2 linked regions of the Kluyveromyces lactis genome follow. The protein of the gene in region 2 interacts with the protein of the main gene of each other region in a pairwise test. Links are inferred from orthologs where the notes say so. Each region holds a gene or a part of one and is shown on either strand. Other genes may lie near its edges.

Region 1 (3,752 bases), on a different chromosome or scaffold from region 2:
TGTTGAGGCATCAAGGTTCTCATTCTACCGGTCACTATGAATGTTTCAGACACAAACCAGAGTTTATGAAAGACATTGATACACATCAAGTCATTAGCAAGACACCAATGGTGGACTTCGGTATTGCGTCGAATAAACTTGCAGCTGAAATCTGGAATCAGGCCGTTCTGAACTCCTCTAACAAATCCGATTCTTGTTCAATCGGCTCGGAAGATTCAATCTCCTCTAACGTGCCATTCAGATCTGTTTTCCTGGACTCACCAAACTCTGCGATTGTTACTGATGATGATTACGTTATTGGAAGCTCAGAGTTCTCTAACGACGCAGATAATAAGGGCCAAAACAACAACAGTGGTTCTGGAGTTTCAAGGACGCCATCCACTTTGAAAAGAGTCACTGGTTTCCTTTCGAGAAAGAGTTCTGTCTCGGCAGCACCGGATAATAACAATACTAGCAATATACTACCTGAAATTAGCAGTTCACCCATGGCTTCATCATCTTCAGAACATAGAAACCGCGCAAGATTTAACAGTGTCTCTTCTATGACGACTGACCGCAACGCTTCGATATTATCTAGTAATGCTAGTATCGACTCTTACAGTACAGATCAAGTTACTAATACAAGTGCTACCGAAGTGGAAACTGAAACAGATTATGACGGTATTTCAATGAATGTCAACAAGAAGACAAAGAAAAGAAGATTAAAGAAATTGAAAAGTGTGGTGAAATACCCATGGTGGAGAATATCTGATACTAAAGTTAAAGAATATAAAACTTCAGATATTTTATCAGAAACTAAATTCGTTTATATGTTGTACTATGAGAGGGTACCAGTAGTCTAACCTGGTCAGTAAGCAAATACTGGAACCAACATAACAACAACCAAAAGAATAAGAAAAAATAGAAACATAGACATATTTTACTAAATTGCACAAGCGGCACCTCACCGCTCCGAATCATTCATCCTTTGTCAATTAACTCATCGATTTATGATGACCACAGGCCATGTATTACTCGATTAATTAGTTTTAGCACTTTTACGTTAACCTTATATACATATACTGTACGATCTTTAAATTTCAGATCATGTGACCTCTAAAACCCTTCTAGAATGAAATTCTTCCTTTCCTTCTGCGGGTTGATGAAGCGAGATGAAAAAGGATTGACATGAATAAAGAGACGAGTTTCAGGAATTCATAATAACAGAGTTGATAGACGAAAGCTGCAACACAAAGGCAAAGGCAGTCAATAGTGGGAAAATGTTGAAGGTATGTAATAATGCGCGTGGTATTGTCTTATGTTTGGCAATTTTGACGTAGTAGCGGAGGATTTCTGACTTTGTTAGAGGCTGGAAAATTTTTCTTTACTGAAAGAAGGTAACCACATGAATATTGCAACGTGAAGGCAAAATACTAACATATACTATGATCATTGGTTGGTGATTAAATTGAACCAATTATCTAATTTCTGGAAATTTTTGGAATAGAATTTCAAATTGAAGAAAGACAGTGTGAAACAGCGCATAACTTCTGCGGATATTTCCGGACCTACTCAAAGTCCAGGGAGCTCAGTGCAAAACGTAAAGACCATTCCTATCAGGCAATTATCTACATCATCACAGCTATCTTCGGGGTTTACAAGTGGAAAATCAAAAGATATCTCGTCTCCAGAAAAAGTAATCAAAGCGTTATACAATTACCAGGCACAATCAGCCGGTGAATTATCATTCAATAAGGGAGACTTTTTCCATGTTCAGCAAGAGGAGAACGATTGGTATGAGGCCTCCAATCCGGCGGACGGCAAGAGAGGCATGGTTCCTAAGAATTATTTCGAGATTTTTGGCAGAACAAGGCCAAATTCGCATGCATCACCGGTGAAAAGTATAAATAGAAATGGATCTGTCGGTAGTAATCAGTTATTACAGCATCATCAGCAGCAACAGCAGCAACAGCAGCAACAACAACCTTCCAATATGGGAACTCTTTATGCAATTGTACTGTATGATTTTCAAGCAGAAAAGGCAGATGAGTTAACAGCCTATGCCGGAGAAAACTTGTTCATTTGTGCTCATCACGATTTTGAATGGTTTATCGCTAAGCCCATTGGCAGGTTGGGTGGTCCCGGTCTAGTTCCTGTTGGTTTTGTGACTATTATAGATATAGCTACTGGTTATGCCACGGGAAATGATGTAAAAAGCGATATCGAATCAGTGAATCTACCCTCGGTCCAAGAATGGAAGATCAATATCGCCCGTTACAAGGCTAGCAATATCACACTAGGTTCAGTGGAACAGCAGGGTCAGTCGTACGTGCAACACCGATCACAATCCAGGCAAAATTCACAAAACCGTCAACCACACCCCAGCACGCAGCACTCGAGCGCTGCCAATACAACCTATCCTGCTGATGCCGTTTTCCTTACCTACGCTGCAGTCGAGACATTTTTCCTACAGGACGATAAGTATTGGTTCCAAGTCTCGTGTCAGTTATCCAACAACACCACGCGTATTTTGAAGCGTTATTATGAAGATTTCTATGATTTACAAGTAAAGCTACTCGATATCTTCCCTGCAGAAGGGGGTAAACTAAGAGACACTAATGGTCAGTGGACGAAACGTATAATGCCATATATACCGGGTCCAGTTCCGTATGTGACAGATACCATTTCAAAAAAGAGAAAAGATGACCTAAATATATACGTGAAGGATTTGATTTCCCTACCGCCGCATATATCACAATCACATCTGGTCAAGGGTTTGTTTGCCGTTAAAAATAATGGTTTTGACCGTGAGATTAGTAATGATGAAACTGTGGAGCTTGACGTAAAAGGTAGGGCTGATGATTCAACTCTGACTAACCAAGAACTACAACTTCCAGAGGCAATGAAGAGACTGTCTCTGATTAATAGCGCTTCCAATGCCAGTGCTAAAGTCAAATCAAGGCCGCCTAGTGGTTTCGCTCCGAGAATAACTGATGAAAAGCCTGTCAAGATCAAATTTTATTACAAAGATGACATATTCGCCTTGATGCTGCATCCTACCATTACTTTTGAAGAATTGTGCAGTAAAATAGCACCTAGAATTGACGCAGATTCTTTTAAGTTGTACATCAAAAACGGAGATGATATTGGCACTCAAGTCACTACTGATGCAGAAGTACCGGTTCTAATTCAAGAGAAACGCAAGATCTTTGTCGATGACAGCTAAGTTATTTGTTGCAAAATTTTATCGTCATAATAAATAATACAAAAAGAACCCCAAGGTGGTCAAAATTCAATTTCTATCCACTGATGGCTTTCATGCTTATCATAATGATGTACTGTACATCGCATTGTAATACTTCAACATAATTTTGACATTAACACTCTTATATTCTTTCACATTAATTCAGTTCAACAAGTAAAAATCAGTTGTTTACATACTCTCTCTATAGGTGTTAATACTTCTATCAAAATGATAATAATACTTCACAAACATGTCTAAGGACTATTCATCCAGCTCTATGTCCATGTCTGCATCCGCGTACGGATCTGTATCGAGATCCATGTCAATGTCCATGTCCGCATTGTGATCAAACTCATCATTTCTATGCATGAGATTCGGTGCCAGATCAACTCTGGAATCTGCTGCAGTCTCAACATTCATATCTACTTCATCTAATTTTGGACTATGCTGTTGGTACCATTTTACCCACAAGCTTGCTACCACAGATCGCCAGTCATACCATTTTATTACCTGCGAGTTAAACTGTCGT
Region 2 (4,386 bases):
TTGTCTGGTGGTTCATCCATGTACCCAGGTTTACCTTCAAGGTTGGAAAAAGAACTAAAACAACTATGGTTTACAAGGGTTCTACGCAATGATCCCACACGTTTGGATAAATTCAAGGTCAGAATTGAGGACCCACCAAGAAGAAAGCATATGGTGTTCATTGGTGGTGCCGTCTTAGCGAACATTATGGCCGATAAAGACCACATGTGGTTATCGAAGCAAGAATGGCATGAAATAGGTCCTGCTGCAATGTCAAAGTTTGGACCAAGATAAATGAATGATTAAAACTCTTATATAATAGTACATTTGTATTACGTAGGTAAACTTATTAATGCACCCATAGGTTCATTTGCTGGCTTCTTATGGGAGCACAGCATTCATATGTTGCTTCTTTATTCAATGCAGGAAAAAAAGCCATAAAGACGGCATGTCAGAAGTGCTTTATCCCAGTACTGCCCTCAGTGCAATAGATTAATCTATAATTTAAATTCAGCTAGTTTGTTCCAAACATCTTCAGATAATTCTTCCACACGCTCATTATTGACATGTTTTTGATCGCAACCATAGTTTACTGCATTTTTTATCAAATCATGTATGAAGAATTTTGTTACGGTGACAGGATTAATTAATGCACCACTTAATAGCTGGTCAATTGTAACACGAGATATGGGATTTCTTTCCAAACATGATCTTATAGTGTCAATAACAGTTCTTGGTATCACTGTACCGAAAGAGTCTTTTTCAGGATAAGGAATCTTAACATCAGGATTCATGATCGCATATAACCTATTGTTTCCCTGGAACGTACCATAAGGCGGTTTTCCGTACACCATTTGGTAGAGGATACATCCACAGGACCAAACATCTGATGGTTTACCCACTTTCCATTTGGCTTGTTCACCATCATTCCTTGTGAAGTTCATTGCAACCAAAGTCTCGGGAGCCATATAATTGGGAGTTCCGATCTGGTTGTCTCGATAAATATTTACAGTGTGATCGGGAACCGCATTCGCAATCCCAAAATCAATTATCTTTAACATTCCCTTGACGAAAACAAAATTTGCGGGTTTCAAATCAGAATGGACAATATCAGCATCGTGAACCACCTTCACACATTTTATCATTTCTTGAAAGTGATATCTGACAAATTCCGTATCAAATGGTATTTTGGATCTCTGAGTCAATACTTGGGATAGATCATGTTCACCACATTCCATTAGGAGAAATAAGACACCTTGTCCCATATGATAGTCAATTAACTTAACAACTCGCTGCTTGTTTTCTAGTTTCTTTAGAAGCTCTATTTCCCCTTTGAAGCCATCAATACTGGACTCATCAAATTCATCGAAAGACACGCGTTTCAACGCGTATACCTTGTGATCAGAAGATTTCACTTTGTAAACTTTACCCGATCCACCTTTGCCGAGTAGTTCCACCTTTTCATATGCGGTACCGTTCACTGTGATCGTTGGAACAGCATACGAGGTTCTCTTCTTTGTATCAAAGGAGCCATTATAGTTCAGATAATTATCCCCCTTGTTCAGTTTTGATGAAACATCGCAACCCTCGGACTTCAAAGGAATAACTTCAACAGTGGATTTCGGAGGTTCCACTATCTCGACCTTTTTAAAGGGTTTCGAATCATGTGGCGATGGTGCCTTCCTATGGGAGAAAAAAGGAGGTCGATAATCCTCGGGTACATGATCATTTTCGTACTTTGGTCGCTTAGCTTCTTGACTGCTAGATGGATTATTGACATCTAATGGTTTCAGCGCTTCGCGTTTGTTAGCTAGTTCACGATCTACCTCCTGGAATACCAGCTGATTTTTCTGCAATGGAGAAGAAAGCGGATCCTGTAACGACGTTTTATCTGTGCCAAAGTTGTGTTTTCTCCGTGGTTGCCGAGCTGTTTGAGTTCTCCTATATTGAGTGAATTCCCTCTTTAACGCCAGCGTTCCAGAGGTGGCCTTTCTCAACACGGTTTTTCTATTCTCTTCCTTTTGCCTTTCAAAATATACTTTCGAGATGTACGGAAGCTCACCACTGGGAAGATTATACTTCTTTAGGTACTGGTATGGGTTGAGATCACCAAAATCTATATTCTCATAGTTGATGTTAGGTTGCAGATTGGCGGAAGGGTCCTTGTTCTCATCGTGGCTGGGTGTTGAATGTTGTCTGTGAGTCTCTAGAAAAATGTTATGGTCATGGTACCTGTAACCTGTATTAGAACTATTAGAGGTATGCGAATTTTCAATATCTTGCTGGGAAATGTTAGATGTATCATTTATTATGCTACTGTTGATTTGACTATTATCAACCCTGGATTCACTAGGGGAATCCACATTGAAACTTGTAGAAAGGTTACGTTTGGCAGGTCCTAGTGAGGACAGTCGGGAAGTGATAAACCTTCTATTTCGTTTGTTTGATGATTTGGTTGTACTGTTATATAGCTCCTCTTTCATACTCTGTTGCAGTACTTTGAACTTTTGAGAAGTATGACTGTGAGTGTCGTCTTTCATCAGTGACTCCTCGTTCAGTTTATTATATTTGTTGTCATGGTTGCTATTTGAATTCGAAATATCATTATCTTCTTTGACCACGGTATTCATTGTTGTCATGCTTGGTTGGAATTGTTTATTCACCATTGTGAAAACTGTTGATTGAGATTGATCTTCTGTGTGATTCGAGGTATGTGTAGTGTTCCGTCCATTGAAATGCCTAACAAAATGCAAAGGGTTCGAGTGAGTAGGTTCTTCTAATCCTGTTTTAGCATCTTGATATCGACTATACTCATGTTGGCTTTCTGCTGTAGGAAATGACGACTGGTTAAGTCGTACAACTCCATCAGATCCAAGCATCAAATAAGAAAGTGTATTGAGGCTAAGGAAAGGGAGCTGCCTTTAAGTTTAGATGGTATCGTTGCAGCAAAAGTATCCACACACTGTAAGAGTATTGATGTACCTTATGATGAATTAACCAATATACTTAGCACAGTACCTACAGCTGATGTTTAGCTCCTAACGGTTGAAATAATTAAAAGAGATTAGTTTGTTTATACTTCGAGAAAGCTTTGGCTTTTCTGGGTAAACAGCACAAAAACAAACAAAAAAGTGCGGTGCACGGATGGAGCAATAAGAACCTTAATCTTCAAGTGAACACCGGTCGACAATTTTCGAAAGGATAATGAGATGGTTAGGCATACTCATATGCTTTCATTTGTTTCAGAGTGGATACTACATCTATTAAAGCTTGTATACACAATGCTATAGCCAGCACTTATCTGGAGAAGTCATTGGGGGAAATTTCGTATACTACCAGACAGGCTGTGGTACAAACATATAATAATACCGCATTAGTTTCGGGCATATGTATGTAATCCATACTTTGAACCATTGGGTACTTGATAACAAGTCTACATTCGTTGCAAGTGTGATGGAAGTCTGAGTTATTTTGTGTGAATCTTCTGTTAGTTTCACAAAACGTCGATCTCTCTTCGTCATCACTATCGTCACATATATCCTGAATTCGAAGGATATTTAAAATCTTCTCAAATCTGAAAGCATAAATGCCACGCCACTCGGTTAATCGATAAAGAAACATTAGTCCAGAGCCATTTGCAACCACAATGCAATTTATTTCGCGTAAGTGACAAACCATTATTTTGTTGCTTGAGAGATCAACACAGTTGAAATTCAAGGGAAATATCGGCCTAGTAAATGCATTCATGATAATTGGATCTGTTCCAAGCAAACTGGTCTCAAAAGTCGAAGTAGCCTCAAATATGAAATTACTTCCTGATGTCTTTGAAAAAAACTTTGGACCATCGTTATTAAATCTTGATTCATCGCAAATCCGAAGATATTTAATTATCGATTTATCCACGTATTCATCAACAGCATCTTTATCAATGCGATTCAGTATAGGGATATCTAGTTGTCTAGCGGTGAAACAATCTTTAATATTAGAAGGAGAAAATTCTCCACTTTTCAATTCTGAGGATTTAATTTGAGTAAATTTCCAGGTCTTGTGGAAGTAGATACGTCTCAATAAATCAGCTGAGCACTCAATATTGTCTATAAACTGGAGATCAAAACAAGGATACCCTTTCCTTTCGATTCTTAAAGTTTCTACTTGATCTTGTAAAGATAGAAATTTATCCTTGTAGTCTTTACAGAAGTCGAGCTCCGCATCCGAAACAATCTCCCAACCAATTCTTGTCTGTCGTACGTCAGACCGGTCAGAGGTTACGTGCACCTTACCGACTTTAGAATCACCATAACCATGTGATCGTTTGGATATATAGCAATCAGGATCCTGTGAAAATGATTCGTTGAGTACCTTTTTATTAACATATACCTCGTGGTAATGTTTTCCATATTTTTGATA

What was found.
Region 1: the proteins of MPS1 (region 2) and BEM1 interact in binary tests that used the Saccharomyces cerevisiae proteins (3 or more experiments, as listed by UniProt). The link is inferred for Kluyveromyces lactis from reciprocal best matches to the Saccharomyces cerevisiae genes MPS1 and BEM1.

The regions. Positions count from the first base shown.
Region 1 is NC_006041.1:2,076,495-2,080,246, reverse strand, and holds BEM1 (phosphatidylinositol-3-phosphate-binding protein BEM1), read left to right. Parts: upstream 1-1,259; coding exon 1,260-1,268; intron 1,269-1,486; coding exon 1,487-3,205; downstream 3,206-3,752. Other genes in the region: putative ubiquitin-specific protease UBP16, read left to right, coding at 1-842; KLLA0_E23343g (uncharacterized protein), read right to left, coding at 3,485-3,752.
Region 2 is NC_006039.1:347,659-352,044, reverse strand, and holds MPS1 (serine/threonine/tyrosine protein kinase MPS1), read right to left. Parts: upstream 2,859-4,386; coding exon 477-2,858; downstream 1-476. Other genes in the region: ARP2 (actin-related protein 2), read left to right, coding at 1-273; CRT10 (Crt10p), read right to left, coding at 3,277-4,386. UniProt on the Saccharomyces cerevisiae protein: Involved in mitotic spindle assembly checkpoint signaling, a process that delays anaphase until chromosomes are bioriented on the spindle, and in the repair of incorrect mitotic kinetochore-spindle microtubule attachments.